Linked DNA regions of Caenorhabditis elegans. The protein of the gene in region 3 purifies or fractionates together with the protein of the main gene of each other region. This does not show direct contact. Each region holds a gene or a part of one and is shown on either strand. Other genes may lie near its edges. The genes, in order: lig-1, ddx-27, dcaf-13 and rpb-9.

Region 1 (4,910 bases), on a different chromosome or scaffold from region 3:
AATGAAAATAAATCGGAATCCATTTTTATACCTTGACAGATCCCAAAACTTTCCGGCCAAGGCTGCGAGAGCGACGTTTTCTCGGAAGATTGGGCGATTCAAAGGGTGTAGAAATGTCTTCCGCAGGGGTCTCAAAATGTTCGAAATGAGGTGTAACGTTTACAGAATTAATGGCTTCCGCATAAGCAAGGTAAACTGAAACAGTTTATAAATATTAAATCAATCAACCTGAAATTCATACCTTCGTGATCTCTCATAGCTTGTGAACGAGCCTGCTCTTGAAAATCTCGCCGGATATTTTCAGCTTGAAGATCTCTCAGTTTTTTTTCGGATTCCATTGTTTTCTTCAGCTGCTCTTTCTTCAATTGCTCCAGTCGTCTCATAACAATTTCCTTCTCATTCAATAACTTTGCATGCTTTCTTTGAGCATTTGACTTTCTGAAATGATATTTTTAATCCAATTATTTACTTTTTGAACTTACGCGATGAACAATCGCTTGTTCTGGTCGTTATTGACAATTTTGTACATATTTTGTGTGATGGAATTTATTGCATTGACGACATCAACAAGGCATTCCATAACTGGAGCATTGTCGGCAGGATTGATCTGAAAAAGGAAACAAATGTTTGTTAAACACATTCTCGTCTATACCTCCGACACAGTTTCTGCCACGTGAACACGTATGGAAAAATCTTCAAGCTCGTCAGTGAGTGTTCCGGCCCCATCCATCCACTTCTGTGCCCAGGCGACTAGGTTTCGCTGGTTCTCTGGCGCCTTTACATTTTTACACAAATCGAGAAGGACTGCCAACCATTTTGCAGCCTCATTATGTAGTTCATCGAGAAGGTCCTTTTTCTGTGACAGGGACATTCTGAAACAGTGTTAGAAAATGAACATCGATGAAAGACACGTGTATTCAGCTCGACTAACGCCTCGAAAATTTTCAAAAAAGGCGGGAAAAAATATTTGAATTCGCCAAGAGGAATTTCACCGCAGCGCGTGCAAAAATGTCTGCATTTGCGCGTGACGGTGTTTGCACAAATTACACCGAATGGTCGAGCTGAAAACACGTGAAAGAAACTGAATGCCGTTATTTTCCGCGACGTGCTGAAAGTCGGTATTTTTGATGTGCAGGCATTGGAGTACGGTAGCAATGAACTTTTCTTTTGGTAGGTTCAAATGTGTTGTCTAAATATTCTTTTTTTTATTAATTATAGGTCTCTCACTATCTTTTAAAAAGCAAATAGACGATGGTATTTTCAATGTCCCATTTTTCTATTTTTAATAACGTCGACTTTAATCACAAGGAAAGAAGCATTTACGATTTGCCGGTTTTTAACTGTCTATGTCTCTTAGTCTCCACACTCTCTCATGTGCGCGCAATCGTGCTCTAATGCATCTGGTGCGCGCGCCGTTCAAAATGTATCGTTTTCTGGTTCGATTAATACAACTTTATTTTTAATACTTGCTCGATATTCTCTTGATTTTGCACACTGCCAAGTATTTTACGTTGTATCCCTTCACGTATTAATTATTCATCTTCGAAACCTTTTCTTCTCGAATAATGTAAATTTCACATCTTCATCGTTTCAGATGTTTTTCTCAAAAGCTGGCAAAGCCGCTGTTGAATGGGCAAAGGGTTCAAAGTAAGTTTTTTGTGGAACATACTGTTTTTTATTTCTAAATTTTCAGAGTCCCTTACAAGGAGTTTGCTCTCACCCTTGAGAAAATCGAAGAGTTATCGGGAAAAAAGAAAGTGGATGAATTGGCTCAATTTTTCACCAAAGTTCTGGACTTTTCACCCGACGATTTAACAGCGTGCGTGTACATGTCAGTTAATCAGCTCGGGCCATCGTATGAAGGGCTCGAGCTTGGAGTTGCTGAAAATTCGCTGATCAAGGTTTGCATTCCACTGAATCTATATTAAATTATAAAGAAAATTTAAGGCTGTTGCTAAAGCGACCGGACGTACAGAGGGAAAAATTAAAGAAGATCTTCGCGCGAAAGGAGATCTTGGGACTGTCGCACAACAGTCAAGATCCAATCAGAAAATGCTTGCTGTTCCAAAAGCATTAACTGTTCCAACTGTTTTCAACAAGTTAACCGAAATTGCAAAGCTCAGTGGCACTTCAGCTATGAACAAGAAAGTTGATGCCATTAGTGCACTCCTCATTGCATGTCAAGGAATTGAGGCTCGATTCCTCGTCCGAATGCTCGCCGGCAAAATGAGAATCGGTCTCGGTGAACAAAGTGTTCTATCAGCACTTGGACATGCATTCACTCTTTCGAAAATAACTGATCAAAAGGTTCGTGGTGACAAACTCGATTCTCTGAAAGATGCAAATGTTAAGCGAGTAAAGACCGCCTATTGGTAATAATTGTTTCTTTATTAAATTATTCATCTAATTAATTTTCAGCGAATGCCCTAACTACAATCGTCTGATCGAAGTTGCACTGACTGAAGGTGTGGAAGCTCTTGTCGAAAAATGTAAACTTTCACCCGGAATTCCACTGAAACCTATGCTGGCTCACCCTACAAAGGGAATTGATGAAATTATGCGACGATTCAGAAATCAGACAATGACCTGTGAATGGAAATATGACGGAGAACGCGGCCAGATTCATAAACGAGAAGACGGGCAAATTTTCATCTACAGTCGAAACCAAGAGAACAACACTACCAAGTACCCCGATATTATCGAAAAAATTTCATCCTGCATCGGGGATGGGGTAACTTCATTTATTGTCGATGCTGAAGTTGTAGCTATCGATGAGGCTGGCTTAATTCTTCCGTTCCAAGTTTTGTCGACTCGTAAAAGGAAAAATGCAACTGATGATAACGGAGTCAAGGTTGTAGTTTTTCTTTTCGATCTTCTCTACTTCAATGGGGAGCCTCTCGTGAGAAAACCACTCCGAAAAAGAAGAGAACTTCTTCGAACAAACTTCAAAAAGATTGATGGAAGCTTCTATTTTGCAACTTCCGTAGATACAAATGATACTGATGAAATCAACTCTTTCTTCGATGAAGCCGTTCAAAATAAATGCGAAGGACTCATGATCAAAACTCTCGACACTGAAGCTACTTATGAGATTTCAAGACGTTCCCACAGCTGGTTGAAAATGAAGAAAGATTACGTTGATGGAGTAGGAGATACGTTGGATCTTGTCGTCATGGGTGCTTATTCTGGAGTTGGAAAGAGAACTGGAGTGTATGGAGGATATCTTCTCGGATGTTACAATCCTACTACAGAAGAGTACGAAAGTGTATGCAAGATTGGAACTGGTTTCACTGATGAAGATTTGGCCGAGCAATACAAGATCCTACAAGACAAGAAAATTGACAAATCTCCTTCTTATTATCAATTTGATCACACTCTTAAACCAGATGACACTTTTTCTCCGTATCTTGTTTTCGAAGTCAAATGTGCCGATATTACTATATCTCCGCGTCACAAAGCTGCAAGTGGATTGACGGATGATGGAAAAGGAATCTCTTTGAGATTTCCTCGTTTCCTGCGTATTCGGGACGATAAAAATTCCGACGATGCAACATCTTCGGAGCAAGTTCTTGAAATGTACAAAAACCAAGAAGCTTTTGCCAACCAGAAGATCGAAAAGGCGGATGCAGTTGATGAGGATGACGAATTTGAAGAAAAAGAAGATGAAGAGGAGGAGTTGAACATGACCAATGTATCTGAAGGAAGTTCTAAAGAAAATCCAGTGAAAGAGGAGATCAAGAAAGAGACTCCTAAATCAGTATCCCCGAAAAAATTCGAAAAGGTTTTAGTTTTTGAAATTACCATTATCGCTAATTATATATATTATTTCCAGAAACCGCCTGTAAAATCTTCACCAGTTAACAAATCGCCCGTGAAAAGTTCACCAATAAAGAAAGAAGCAGAGAAAAAGAAAGGACCAGTTGCTAGCATCTTTTCATCATCGACAAAGAAGAATGAAAAAGACGTTAAAGTGGAATCTCCATCTCCGATCAGAAAGAAGAAGCTGCCTTCTGATTCTGACGAGTCTGATGAAGAAACCTCAACTAATAAGAAACAGCCAGCAAAGAAGAGGTCTCGCGTTGCAATTGATTCCGATTCCGACTAATGCCAAGCAACTAATACTGAGATACATTTCTGCATATTCAATGATTTACTTTTTGTACTATGTTTCCTAATTTTCTAAGTAAATACCTCACATCGACTTTTTCTTTTGTTCACGGCCGGTCATTTTAAACAACTCATTCATGTGTGCGAATGTGTTGTACTTTCAACTGATTTATTCAGAACTTTGGATTTTGAGTCTTCTATTTAGGAAAGAGATAGACGCTGACCTAGATACCTAGAAACAAACACATAGTAAAACTTTACTAAAAAGACAAATGTATATCTACATTCTACCACGTCTGTGTACTCCTGAATCATCTTCTCTCCTTCGTGCATTCTTCTGTTGTGTCGTTGACTTACGTAGTGCGCATCCGCAAAATTCGATTTGCAGTTCAATACGGGAGAGCAGAAAGCATAAGACATTCTGATGCCTCAAACCAATTCAATTAATATTCTTAAGTTTCAAACAAAAAGTTTATTTAGAATTAAAACTTTGAAGCAATAATTAAAACTTTGAACAAATCTAGGTGAATTTGTCACGTCATTCCATGAATCCGCTACTATCCAAAAAAGCGTATCGGGAAAGAATCGTAACAGGTATCCTTCTCACAATTTTGTGGAAAACATTCAAAATTTCCCTGTAATTCATTTACATATACTTCAAATGCTTTGGCTATGTAGTACCAGTCTAGGATTACTTATTTCTAATAAGAAACGGTAGTTTTGAGTAAGAGTTTAATTGAGCTGCGAGTCTATAATAAAAGATAGACTGAATTGTCAATTCTGTCATTCTACACGTTCGGAAA
Region 2 (4,852 bases), on a different chromosome or scaffold from region 3:
ATTTTCAAAAAATCTTTTTCATCTCTTTCTCTCTCTCTCTGAATCTCAATTTTTTCCTGAATTTCCCCGTTTTTTTCTGATAATTTTCAATATTTCTCTGAATTTTTCTATTCCCCCCGTTGTAATGCCAAAATATGTGGTAATTTCTCCCCATTTTTTCGCTTTATTACTATTTATTCTATTCAATTGGTGCCTCTCTCAATGTGTTGTATGAAAAACACTGTTTTATGGAGGTTTTGGAGAATTTTGAATTTTTTCGTCGTGATTTTTATTGGTTTTCTTTACCAATTCAATTTTTTTTTTAATTCGAAAATTTGTAGAAATTCACTTTTGTAGCTTAAAAAATTAAAAATTGAGAAAATTTGTTCAAAAATGGCAAAGTTTTCGAAATTTTAGTCTAAAAAAAGATTTTTTTAATATAGAATTTTAAAAAATTAGCACAGAAAAATGCCGAAAAATTCGTAATTTTTCATTTAAAAATGAAAAAAAAAAAAAACAAAAAAAAAAAAAAAAAAGAGGGAAAAATCCCATTAAAAGTAGTTTTTTGACTGCAAAATCGTCTGGAAATTAACAAAATTTAAAAAAATCTTTTTTACAGCCCATCGTTTCCAAAAACCAAATAAAATGCCAAAAAAAAATTTTTATGCAAAAATTCTGGATTTTTTTCCGATTTTTTCAAAAAATTCCCCCTTCTAAAAAAAATGGTGAATTTGTTCCCAAAAACCCAAAATTTGAGATTTTCTAAAATTTTGGCAAAAATTAAGAATTTCACGGTTTTGAGAGGGAAAAACTCCATTAAAATTGATGATTTTATGACTAAAAATTCCTAAAAAATCAATTTTCAGTCAAAAATTAAATTTTTTGAAATTCTAGCTAAACATTAAGAAATTCACGGTTTTGCGAGGAAAATCTATTTAAATCGATATTTTTTGACTGAAAAATCCCTGAAAAATCAAAAATTTTTGGCTAAAAATTGAGAATATTTTTTGTTTTAAAAAAATCATTGAAATTGATTTTTTTGTTTTAAAATTTCCATAAAAATCGCGGAGAAGTCAATTTTCAGTCATAAATCTTCTGAAAATTATCCAAACAATGGGATTTTCTGAAATTTTAGCTTGAAAATTGAGAATTTCCCGGTTTTGTCATGGAAATTCCATTACAATCGATATTTTTTGACAGAAAAATTGCTCTGGAAATTAACAAAAACCAAATAAAATGTCAATTTTTTTTAAATCCAAAAATTGTTGGATTTTTTCAGAAAAAAATATTTTTTCAATTGACTGGTGTCCAAAAAATATAGAAAATTCAAATTTTCCAAGAAAAATAGCCAAAAAAATGTAATTTTTGTCTAACAAAAAAATTGAATAGCGCAAAATTAAATTGTCGTTTTTTTTAAATTTCCCGGTTTTGAAAGGAACAAATTCCATAAAAATCGAAATTTTTTGACTGAAAAATCCGTGAAAACTAGAATTTTGAGTCAAAAATCCTCTGAAAATGCTCCAAAATATGAGATTTTCTGAAATTTTAGCTAAAAATTGAGAAATTCACGGTTTTTTCAGAGAAATTCCATTACAATCGATATTTTTCAAGTGAAAAATCCTCTGGAAATCAACAAAAACCCAATAAAATGCCCTAATTTTTTTAATCCAAAAAAATCTGGATTTTTTCAAAAAAAATTCCCTCCCCCACTAAAAAAATCGTATTTCCCAATTTTCAGAGCCAAAAAAAAAATGGTGAATTTGTTCCCAAAAACCGTCGAATCCGACGAAGAAATGGAAATCGACGAGTCGGACGACGAGCAAGTCCAAGACGAGGCAGTAACCGTCAGAAAGAAGAAGAAAATGGCGAATGCCGCCGAAGAATTTGCTCAGGATTTCATTTTTGAGTCAGGCGACACCCAATTTATCGATCGAGAAACCGAGGATCTTCAGAAATATCTGAAAAAGCAGACGCCAACGTCACTGGACGAGAAAATCGCCGAAATGAGAAAGTTGAAGAATACGGGAAAAGCTGTAATTGTTGAGGATGAAGCTGAAGCTGCTGAAGCCGAGGAGAAAGATGAAGAAGAGGATGATGTTCAACAATTGGGTGGAAAAGAGACACGAGATACTGTACGAGAGAAGAGAAAAAGTGGAAAATCAAAGAAATCCCAGGAAAATGAGGATTTCTTTTCGGCGCTGATTGATGGAAAAAGTCTCGACACGAGTGTTAATGTATCATTTGAACAAATGAATTTGAGCCGACAGATTTTGAAGGCGTGCTCCGGCGCTGGATATTCGGATCCGACGCCTATTCAACAGGCGTGTATTCCGGTCGCACTTACTGGAAAGGTGAATTGCTGTTTTGCGGAGAATTTTTTTTTTTGGAAATTTTCTGACAAAAAGTAGAGGTGGAGTAGTGAAATGTCTGGGAAATATTTTTATTTGACTCCAAATTATTATTTTGAAAAAAATTTAGGCAAAAAAGGATTGAAAAATCTTAAAATTAATGTTTTGGTTTATTTTTTGCCAAAAATCAATTTTAGTTTTTTTTTTACCTTTGGGAAAAATTGAAAAATTCAACATTAATGAAAAACTGGAAAGATGCCCGAAAAATCGTTTTTTTTTCCAAAAAAAAAATTTAAAAAGAGAAAAAATTGAAGAACATTCAAATTTTCCAAAAAAAATATATATTCTTCCGAAAAAAAAATTTTCACAAAAAAAAATACCAAAAACGGATATGTATATTGAAGGAACCAGAAATTTTTCGTTCTCAAAAAAATTTGCTTCCTTTTCAAAAAAAAAAACACAAAAAGCCAATGATTAACATTTTTGTCAGGACTAAATTTTTAAAAAATTCTTCAGCAAAAAATCAACTTTCACTTAAGGTAATGTTTCTATCATTTTTGCGAAAAAAAAAACAATTCTCGTGAAAAAAATTATTTTTTCTGAAAAAATAACCAGATTGGGGTTTTTTTTATTAGACTGCTGTCCAAAAAAAAATTGAAATTTTCAAAAAAAAAACAACAGGCGTGTATTCCGGTGGCACTTACTGGAAAGGTACTGCAATCTTGCGGAAAATTTTTTTTTGGAATTTTTCTGACAAGAATTAAAGGTGGAGTACCGAAATTTGAACCTTTGCTTTTTCCGACCCGAAATGGTCCAAAACTACCGAATTTCATAATGAGACTTCACGAAAAATTTCCAAAAATTTTTTATGGCCGGTCATAATTTCGAAAAAAAAGAGCCAAATTTTGCTAAAATCTGAAATTTCGCAAACTTTTCTTTGTCATAGCCGCTGGTTTTTAGTTTTTCTGAAATTATCACCTTTTAATCTTTATTTTGGTAATTTATATCACGGAAATTCGATGATTGAGACAACTTTTAGGCTGATAGGCATCCAAAAATATAAATTACCAAAATAAGGATAAAAAGGTGATAATTTCAGAAAAGTTAAAATCCAGCAGCTGTGACAAAGAAAAGTGTGCGAAATTTCAGATTTTAGCAAAATTTGGCTCTTTTTTTTTGAAATTTTGACAAGCCATAAAAAATTTTTGGAAATTTTTTGTGAAGTTTCATTATGAAATTCGGTGTTTTCAGACAATTTTAAGTCTAATAAAGCAATTTAAAAAATTCGACTACACCTCCTTTAAAAAAAAAGGACATTTAGTGATTTTTTTTTTCTTCAAAAATTGATCTAAAACTGTTCAATTTCAGGACATTTGCGCCTGTGCAGCGACTGGAACCGGAAAAACCGCCGCCTTCGTTCTTCCAATTCTCGAACGTATGATTTATCGTCCGAAAGGTGCCAGTTGTACACGTGTACTCGTTTTGGTACCAACTCGTGAACTGGCAATTCAAGTATTCCAAGTTTTCCGAAAATTATCGACGTTCATTCAATTGGAAGTTTGTCTGTGTGCAGGTTAGTTGGAGAATGCGATGATTTTTTGGGAAATTTTGGGAAGAAAAAGCCAAAATTTACAGTGTAAAAAATTGGAATTTTTAAAAAATTTAATATTAAGTTTGAATTTTCGGAGCAAAAGCTGCGAATATTGTTAAAAATCTGAAAAAATCTAAAAAATATGATTTTTTGAATAAAATTTTTCAAAAAATTAAAAAATTGCTGAAAAAGCAATTTTTTTGTGAAAAAATCAGAAAAATACTAATTTTATTATAAAAATATTAATTTCACCGGAAATTTTCCAATTTTTGAGAAAATCTGAAAAATAAAAATTTTTGGATTTTTTGGAACATTTATGAAAAAATCAAAAAAAACCAATTTTTTTTCAAAAAATAAATAGGAGATATATCATCAAAAAATCAATTTTTTCAAAAAAAAACTGATATTTTTTGTCGGATTTATCTCGAAAAAATTAAATTTTCCGGAAATTTTGGCATTTTCTAGACAGAAAAATCCGAAAAAATTGGATAAAATTTATCAAAAAAATTGAAAAAATAGCTGAAAAAAGCAATTTTTTTCGTTAAAAAATCGGAAAAATAGAAAATTTATTTTAAAAATTAATTTTTTTCAACAAAAAACGGCCCTTTTTTGTAAAATCGGATTTATCTCGTAGAAATTTAAATTTTCCGGAAATTTTGGCATTTTTTGGAGAAAAATCTGTAAATATTGTTTAAAATCTGAAAAATAAAATTTTTTGGATAAAATTTACCAAAAAAAAAATCAATTTTCAAATTTTTCCAAAGAAAAACTGATATTCTTTGTGTAAAATCGGATTTATCTCGTAAAAATCTAAAATTTCCGGAAATTTTGGCGTTTTTAGACAAAAAAAATCTGAAAAATTGGATAAAATTTATCAAAAAAATTGAAAAAATAGCTGAAAAAAGCAATTTTTTTGTAAAAATCGGAAAAATAC
Region 3 (5,061 bases):
AAAAGTCGGTGGAGCCGGATTCAAGGTGCTCAAAGTTCTGGAAGGGTGTGCAGCGTATGTCTTTGCAAGTGCTGGTTGTAAGAAATGGGACACGTGTGCAGTTGAAGCCGTGTTGACTGCTGCTGGAGGAACTCTTACGGACATTTCGGGCCGTGATATTCGATATGAGCCCGGTGTGCAGCTTAATAATACGGGAGGAGTACTGGCGACGGCTTCATGGGTCAAGCATAAGGATTATATCGATACGATTCCACAAGAAATCAAGAATATGTTGCCGGAGATTTCATCGAAAAAGTGATCTGAAGCATTCCAAATTTAATTTTTTTCCTTTTTAATATCATTTTCTTTCATGTCTAAATATTTTTCTTTCTTTTTTTAGTGTTGTAAATGAAATTATGAATTATCAAATTTTTTTTTAAATTTTCGATTTTACGGAAAATCGATAAAAAAACATAATTATTTTCTTCGAAAAAAAAAATGAAAAAATGGCCGAAAAATCGAGATTTTTTTTTTTGAAATAAAATCGAAAATTTTTCGATTCTTCGGTTAATTTTTTTGTTTTTCGAATTTCTCTAAATAATTTTTTTTTGATTTAGCGGTATTTAAAAACAAGGATTTTTTTTGGGAAAAATAGGAGAACAACCAAAAAAAAAAAGTGTGATAAACTTGAAAACAACAACAAATAACAAAAGAAAAAACGACGCTGCTGCTTCACATTTCGGCATCTCCAACCATAATCTTCTGAGTCTGTGGCAGATATGATTCCTCCTCGTCGAGTCCAGCGGCTTTTGCTCGTCGGAAATCTCGTCGTCCGCGGGCGTCTCTGATAAGCTTGTGCTCCTTGGCGGCTCTGAAAATTGTTTAGTTTTGCTTTGGAATTTCCACAAAATGTTGTTTTTCCAAAACGAACATTAGTGAGAAAATACAGAAAATCACTTGATTTCTCTGAAAATAATATTATTTTCAGCAGCATAAATGCTATTTTCAGAGAAATCAAGTGATTTTCTTCATTTTGGCACTATTTTTCAGTGTAATTGGCCAAAAATTCTGAATTTTTTCTGCAAAAAACCCACGTGAAAATATGTCTTGGCACATTGCGATGCTTTGCGATTCTTCGTACTTCTGGATGGTTCTTATAGGTATCTCGAAGTTTTTCATTATAAGCGAAAGCTTGTTTCTCTCGTTTTGTGAGTGGTCCAAGCTTCTCCGCGGCATTCGCTTTCCAGACACGAATATTCATTTCGTTACTTCCAGATAGAACGAATTTCGAATCAGCAGACCAGAGTACGGAGAGGACTGAGGCCATTCGTTTTGTGTAGTAGACGTCTCTGAAATTGTAGAATTCGAATTAATTCTAATTTTGAAGTTTATATTTTAAAATTTTGGAGTGCTAGATTAGGGGTGGGCGGCAAACGATTTTTCCAGCAAATCACCAAATTGCCGGAATTGACTATTCCGGCAAATCGGCAAACTGGCAAATTGGTGGAATTGCACTTTTTTTTTTGGAAATTCCGGCAAAATCGGCAACTTGCCACAATTCAAAATTTCCGAGAAATCAGAAATCTGGTGAATTTCTGGCAGATCAGAAATCTGGCAAATCGGCAACTTGCCACAAATCAAAATTTCCGGCAAATCAGAAATCCGACGAATTTCCGAAATTGAATATTTCCGGCAAATCGGCAACTTCCCACAAATCAAAATTTCCGGCAAATCGGTAATCCGGCAAATTGGTGGAATTAAGAATTTCAGGCAAATCGGCAATTTGCCGAAAATTAAAATTTCCGAAAAATCAGAAATCTGGTGAATTTCCAAAATTGAATATTTCCGGCAAATCGGCAATTTGCCGAAAATGACAAAAAATTTGCCGAGCGGCACATGCCGCTATCCCTGTTCTAGATTGCCGATCTACAATATTTTCAGCAATTAATATTCACCTGCTAGTCATATCTCTAGCCTTAAACAATCTAATAGATCTATCATATCCAGCAGCCACAAATTCTTGACCAGTCGGCGAATAGTCGACATCAAGCACAGCAGACGTGAATCCCTGATGAGATTGAACAGGATGTTCCATATATCTCATATCAAATGTGTACAGGCTATAGTCCTCGCTAGCCACCGTGAAGTTATAGGCCTCCATCGGATTCCACGAGATCTTATTCGGACGCATTTTCATCGTCACCTTCTTCAGTGGAACGTCTTGTCGCGTGTCGAGCACGTAAATCGAACGATCTGAGCGGGCGCCAACGATCACGTTCTCTTCGACTGGATTCGCTCGGCATGTGTGAATTGTGTCAGTGCCGAGATTATAACTGCGTAGTGGTGTCTCACGATACGGCTTCCAAACACTAATATCTTCTCCACAAGTGACAAAATCCGAGGAGAATGAGAGATGAGAGACTCCATACACAATTCCATCCATTGCAATTGAATGGGCCGGCGTTTTCTGTTGTCCTTCGATCTTCCAATATTTGAGTTGATTGTCCTGTCCAACAGTTACAAAGTTTTCTCCATTATTATTATCAATTGAAATATCATTAACAAGTCCTCGATGTGCGTCTAAAGTTGCTTGACACTCTCTGGAAGCCAAATTCCAGATTTTTACTTGACCATCTCGGGCGCCGGAGAAAACTGTGGATGGGCGATCTGGAAAATTGAAAAATATTTTTTTCTAGAGATTTTCAAGAAAAATCAATTACTCGGATGCTTTGCAAGAACTTGAACTCCGTCGACATGGCCGTCAAGACTCGCAACGAATGGTTTAGCGAAAACTCGCTCCAATTTCGTGGCATTTAGAGCACGTGTGTATTCAACTTGAGATCTGAATGGGTCCGCTGGTGTGTTGAAGTTTCGAACGACTGGAAACATTGAATTAATATATGAAATTATAAAATACTAGGAAAATCTTACTTTTGTTCCTTTTGTCCGTGGTTTCTCTTTGATAAGTGTTTGGATTTCGAGAAATCACCTTGATTTTCATTTTGTTACCTGAAAAAAATCACTTAAATTTCGAGGAAAATTACGAAAAGCTTTTCTTATATAAAAACAATAAAAAAGAAAAAATTTAAGTGTCGTAAAGTGTGGTGTGCGGTCCGCAAACTTGCGTGCGGTGTTCACGTACCGCGCCCTAAACTCGAAAATTTATTTTTTATTCTAATTATTTTTTTGTAATTTTCGCATTTTTAAGCGCAATTTTCTTTCTTTGAACAGTTTTTTTTTTGTTTCAAAAATTAAATAAAATTACCATTTTTCAGAATTGTTGTCTGTTATTTCTCCAAACCCCGGGTATCATAAGAATGGCGACGTCGTTGACAAGCCAGTTGGAAAATTTGAGAACATCGGCCGCTCGTCACTTGACGGTTGAGAAGCGCCATGTTTCTTTATTGTTCGATAGAAAAGAAGCCAATAAACTATCAAATGAGACCGCTCACAGAATTGGTAAGAGCTTCGAGAATTTAATTTATTTATTCTTTATTATTTCAGGAGTTGCGGGACTCGAGCAAATGAAGAGAATCGACCCAGTTTTTGATACAGAATTCGCCAACGATCTATTCTCTGAAGAGCGTGTAGACTTTGTCAGGTCAATGCTCGAAAAAGGCGCCAATGAAGAGCTCAACAAACAAATCGAAAAGCTTCTTCTGGAACTTTCTCCGTATCTACAACATTTCGCTTGCCAACAAGTTCTTGAATTCCTGATCCACACTTATCAAATCTACTCTTTCAACGCCGAGACGCTTCTTCTCACTTTTCTCCCATTCCACGAGACCAAAGTCTACTCCAGACTTCTCCGTATTCTGGATTTTGACTGGAAAAGATCGAAAGAATGGCAATTTATGCAGCAATTCACGAAGACGGAGACACCAATCCCATTCACTTCAATCGCAAGAGCCACGTTGTCAAGCAAGCATTCGATTATTACCTGTATCACGGATCACATCAGACATGCTGTTGAGATTGTTGGAAGTGACTATTTGGAAATTAAACATCCTATTCTCTTCAATTTTCACGCGAAATTGTTGTTGAGCATGTTCACGGATCCAGAAAAAGTCGACGAAATGATGCTTGCCAAGTTGATGCCGTTCATCGAAAATGGAATTAAAAGCCCAATGAAATCTTTCCGTTACTCTGCAATGGTTGTCATCTCCCAGCTGGTGTTGACGGTGAAGCTCAAGGATGAGGTTTTGAACTCAATGTGCAAGCTGCTGATCACAAAAATGCGATCGGACACCGCAGCAGCTTCACTTTCGACTCTGATGGTTGTTTTCCAGCAGCAAAACGTGCAGAGTTTGTCGAAGAATACGCTGAAGAAGCTGCTCCGCCACGAGGAAGGCATTGATGTCTGGAAGATTCTGAAGGAACTCTCAGAGCGTACAGATACGACAAAGTTCTTCAATGTTCTGTGGAAAGAACTTATTGTGTTGTCAAAAGATGCAGAATCTGAAGATAATACCTTGGCGATTGATGTTCTTATAGAAACTATTGAAGATGCTTCGATTTTGACTGGAGATCAAGCTGGAACAATCTTGAAGCTGATCCTTCAGGAAGGAATGGACGGAAATATTTTCGATAATAAGAAGAAGCTGAAATCGAATATTCGAGCTATTGGAATGCGATTTGCGAAGCAATTTGATGCGATTCACGCCGAATTGAAGGCTAAGGACAAGAAAACCTTGAAAAATGTGCTCAAAGAATACCAAATTGAAGATATTGTGCAATTCGCCAGTGAAGCTGTCGCTGCCACTCAATCTGAGGAATCTATTGAAATTATTTCCGAGGAAGCTCCATCTTCCAAGAAAATCAAGCTCACCGCTTCAGAAAAAGCTCAAAAGCTGGCTCAAAGTTCAGAATTCGCGAAACGAGAAGTTTTCTCCGGTGACCCGATCAATAAGGCGACCGAATGGTTGAACGGAGAGAAATGGGACAAAGTCGAATGGGCTCTGAATGAGATGGCTCAACGAGGAGAGAAATATTTCAGTCGTAAGGTGGAAGATGACGTCGAGCAATTTGTGTTGGAGATTGTGAAGGTTGTCGGTGTTGGAGGAGTCAAACAGATTGATGGAG
Region 4 (3,662 bases), on a different chromosome or scaffold from region 3:
TTTAAAAGTTCTTAAAAAAAACAAGAATGGCGTGAAATGATCTATTCATTGTTAGTAAATTGGAAAAAAATAAAATGGAATTTGGATGGGATGAATGAGACCCGATAGAAATATAAGATAATACATCGATCATCCCAAATCGTGAGAAATTGAAAGAATCGGCTGCTCGAGGTAGGCGGCCAGTGTATGAAGCTTAGCGCGGACCATTCCCAAATCGGCACTCTTGTCGGCCTTGACTGCCAGAAGCATTGTACGAGCGACGAGTGTGCAACCAATTACTCCATTCTCCAGAACGAGAATAGTTTCTTTCAGATCGTTGGCTGTAATTACAACTTGATCGAGGTGTTTGATTTCAAACTTTGAAGAATGTGAACTGGTAATTTTCCAGTTGAAATAGACTGATTATGAGCATGTTTTAAAAAATCTACCTCTTCTCTCGAGAGCAGCCCAGACACTGGCTATAAGTGCAGATGAGACGTTTGATGCAACGGCTTTCTGTTCGCTTCCGACGTAGGCAAGGAGCAATCCTTCCTTATTGAAAAGCCACGAACCATCAACACCGCTTGTGTTCACCTGTCCGAGAACATCAACCAGCGCTTTCTGTTTCAGCATCTATTTTAAAGTTTTGGATTACGGTTACTAGTTAGAAAGTTTTAATTTTGAAAATAACCAAAGAGTACGGTAAAAACCGAGAATTAGAAAAAATATAATCGAAAAATTGAATGATGATTTGAATTTATTGGAACAGGTAGGGAACATATGGAGATCCGAAAAAACATTATTTTAGAAATAAGGAATAAAACAACAATTGACGATTAAGAAAACGTTTCAAATAAATAGAAAACAATTGGACACTATGTTTTATTCCGTCCATCTGTGCTGACAATCTTGCGATGCACATACATAGTACAATCTCATCTCTTCTTCTGCCTTTTTTGTTTGAGCCTGGAAGAAGACAGCCTTACTTTTGCCACAGACTGGACATTGATGTTCTTCAGTCTTCGGGAGCGTTGGATCGTGAATAATATCTCCGACGATTTGAGTGAGCTCACTGAAATAATCCAATTGATTTAGAAAATGAGTCAATTTGACAATGAACTTACTCAATTTCGTGAACGAGCTTATTCACATAGATACACGGGTTAGCGGCGACTTCACGATGCTCACAGTTCCGGCAGGAATACATCAAAACTCGTGATTCCTTATCCTCTCGTGGGTACAGCATATTATTGCTGAAGTTTAACAATTTTGATGTTTTTTTTCAAATTTTCATCATTTTGTCTTTATTATTAGCTTTGAGCCAGAGGTGGGTGCAATTTTCTTTCGGCAATTCTACAAAATGGCATATTGCGCCATTTTGTTCCAACATTTTTAGTTTAAAATTAGTATCAAAATATAGTAATTCAGTTGATTTTACTGAAAATAACATTATTTTCGGCTGAAAAACTTCAGAAAGTGCTTAAAAATGGCATGCAAGTTACCGATTTTCAAAAAAAAAAACAAAGCTCGATAATGTTCCAGCTGAAAATGATATTTCCAGTTAAATCAATTTAATTTCAATATTTTCACACTAATTTTAAATGAAAAATGTTGAAACAACAAGGCGCAATCGGCCACTTTGTGAAATTGCCGGAAATAATTTCCTAAATAATATAAAACTAATTACCATTCTGGGCAAAACTTGATTCCAACAAAACCAGGCCCACTTTTCCCGGGTTTTTCGTTTTGACTCGGCGCCGGTGATGCACCGTTTTGATCGTACATATCATCGTAATTATCATACCCTTGGCTCATCTTTCTGAAAAAATATGATAAAACATTTTCAAGCTTTGATTTTAATTGCAGATACATTAGTGGAATGGAAAACCACAAATAGCGAATCAAAAATGTGGAAAATAAAATAAAAATGCAATTTTTATTTACAAACCAACAGAGGAGAGATAAGATTATTCGAAGAAGGAAAACCGACCTTTCTAACTTTGTATATACATATAAAAAAGAATTCCATAAAATAAAGAAATGGGGGAATGATGCTAGCCATTTGATTCTAGAAGCTTTAAAGAGATAGGAGTGACAGTGGAATTATTGACAGGAACATGTAGAATATCGAAAAAGAAGTGAATTTAGTGAAAAAAGAGCATTTGAATTATTCATCCCAGTTAACCCATCCTTCTTCTTTCTTTTCGCTTTCAGGTCGAGGTGTCAATGGTCCCTTTTCGTCATCTTCGTCATTTGATGGAATTTCCTATAACTAGTTTGACATTGCTATCGATTTTCAATAATTGGGCAGCACTTTTAATAACATTTGGTGCAAATTTTTCGAAAAAAAAATTATGGTTCAGCGACAAAACGAACCTCAACATTCTTTTCACTGCAAACACTCCATTCAGATTGTGACGGACTCGTTGGCTCTTCTACAACCACTACAGACGATTCAGATGATGGTGATGATTTCTTTGATGATGTTCCAGATGATCCCTTTCTTTTCGATTTCTTTGGTGATTTTGTATCAACATTCAATGCCTCGGAGAGTGTCGACTTGTTCATTTCTTCCTCCATTTCAGCAACCTCGATAGCATAGAAATACCGTTTCCAGAATGTTTCATGATTGACACTGCCTGGAACAAGATTTGCAAACATTTGACGCAATGATGGATTGTTTGCAAGAAGAATATTGATCTCTCCGTCATATTCGTCTAAATTGAAGCGAGAAATCCATCTTTCATAAAATTCAGAATTTCCTGGTTCAGTGAGATAGATAGATTCGTTGGATTGAATTTCGGAGAGCTTCAATTTTGATAAACAAGTTTTTCTATCTTTCTTGGGCTTGATAGCTTCAGTAAAATCGTCTTCTCCGGTAGTGGTCTCTTCCATTGCCAAATTCTTGACCGTATCTGTAACCGTATCCACAATCTTAGTCATCCATCCAAAGCTCAGAGAGTTCGAGCTTTCCAGTTTTGGTTTCTCAGTTCCTGTTTTCTGTTCCGATGATTCACCATTATCGTCTCCTTCTCCTGGTAATGGTTTCTCTTCTTCATTCGGAGTCACAAGCTTCTCCAGCATCTGAGCTTGTTGTTTGACAGCATTTGCAGCAGTCCCGAAACCTTCTTTTGCAGCTGAAGCAAGATCGGTTACTTCAGCAGAGACGGCTTCACTCAAATCGTTCAAATCCTTTTTGACTAGGTCAAGAGTTGTCATCGTCTGAAATTTGTTTTTAGAAGGAATTTTCATTGTTTTTGTGAAGTAAAATAGGATAAAACACAATTATTGCGAAATTTAATTATGCACTTACCTTTTCCTTGGCAGAATTCAAAAATGATGCTCCCCAAGAGGAACCCTGGTTGAGCCATGAACTAGCAGCTCCAAATCCGCCAGCGAATCCGGAATCTTCCGTGGTTTTCGGTTTTTCCTCATCGGTTTCCTCGACTTTTACATCTTCGGGTTTTTCCGACATTCTCTGAAAAATGAGTGAATTAGCTGGAGAAAATGCCATGAGAAGGGACTCATTTATTGCACGGAATCTAATTTTCGAAAGAGGATGAAGAAACGAATGAGACGAGAAGATATCTGGAACAGAAAATGGAAAAATAGAAAAACAAAAGCAAAAAAAGGCTGAAATGGGAGAAAACACAGAGAAGACTCGGCTAAATGAGGCAGAGAAG

What was found.
Region 1: the proteins of dcaf-13 (region 3) and lig-1 fractionate together in Caenorhabditis elegans (co-fractionation; one large-scale study listed by BioGRID). This does not show direct contact.
Region 2: the proteins of dcaf-13 (region 3) and ddx-27 fractionate together in Caenorhabditis elegans (co-fractionation; one large-scale study listed by BioGRID). This does not show direct contact.
Region 4: the proteins of dcaf-13 (region 3) and rpb-9 fractionate together in Caenorhabditis elegans (co-fractionation; one large-scale study listed by BioGRID). This does not show direct contact.

What each region holds. Positions count from the first base shown.
Region 1 is NC_003283.11:10,812,519-10,817,428, forward strand, and holds lig-1 (DNA ligase 1), read left to right. Parts: upstream 1-1,594; coding exon 1,595-1,647; intron 1,648-1,693; coding exon 1,694-1,901; intron 1,902-1,947; coding exon 1,948-2,372; intron 2,373-2,418; coding exon 2,419-3,781; intron 3,782-3,832; coding exon 3,833-4,105; 3' UTR 4,106-4,200; downstream 4,201-4,910. Other genes in the region: C29A12.1 (uncharacterized protein), read right to left, coding at 32-195, 242-438, 483-607, 653-871. UniProt on the Caenorhabditis elegans protein: DNA ligase that seals nicks in double-stranded DNA during DNA replication, DNA recombination and DNA repair.
Region 2 is NC_003279.8:1,766,170-1,771,021, forward strand, and holds the start of ddx-27 (RNA helicase), read left to right. Parts: upstream 1-1,717; 5' UTR 1,718-1,772; coding exon 1,773-2,330; intron 2,331-3,695; coding exon 3,696-3,900; intron 3,901-4,852.
Region 3 is NC_003280.10:4,421,915-4,426,975, forward strand, and holds dcaf-13 (DDB1- and CUL4-associated factor 13), read right to left. Parts: upstream 2,989-5,061; 5' UTR 2,981-2,988; coding exon 2,911-2,980; intron 2,859-2,910; coding exon 2,700-2,858; intron 2,647-2,699; coding exon 1,935-2,646; intron 1,329-1,934; coding exon 1,074-1,328; intron 851-1,073; coding exon 712-850; 3' UTR 606-711; downstream 1-605. Other genes in the region: bpnt-1 (3'(2'),5'-bisphosphate nucleotidase 1), read left to right, coding at 1-298; toe-1 (HEAT repeat-containing protein 1 homolog), read left to right, coding at 3,297-3,438, 3,484-5,061.
Region 4 is NC_003283.11:8,010,495-8,014,156, forward strand, and holds rpb-9 (DNA-directed RNA polymerase II subunit rpb-9), read right to left. Parts: upstream 1,852-3,662; coding exon 1,667-1,851; intron 1,233-1,666; coding exon 1,104-1,232; intron 1,052-1,103; coding exon 862-1,051; 3' UTR 719-861; downstream 1-718. Other genes in the region: lmtr-2 (Ragulator complex protein LAMTOR2 homolog), read right to left, coding at 130-320, 429-612; Y97E10AR.6 (BSD domain-containing protein), read right to left, coding at 2,147-2,245, 2,356-3,201, 3,293-3,454. UniProt on the Caenorhabditis elegans protein: DNA-dependent RNA polymerase catalyzes the transcription of DNA into RNA using the four ribonucleoside triphosphates as substrates. Component of RNA polymerase II which synthesizes mRNA precursors and many functional non-coding RNAs.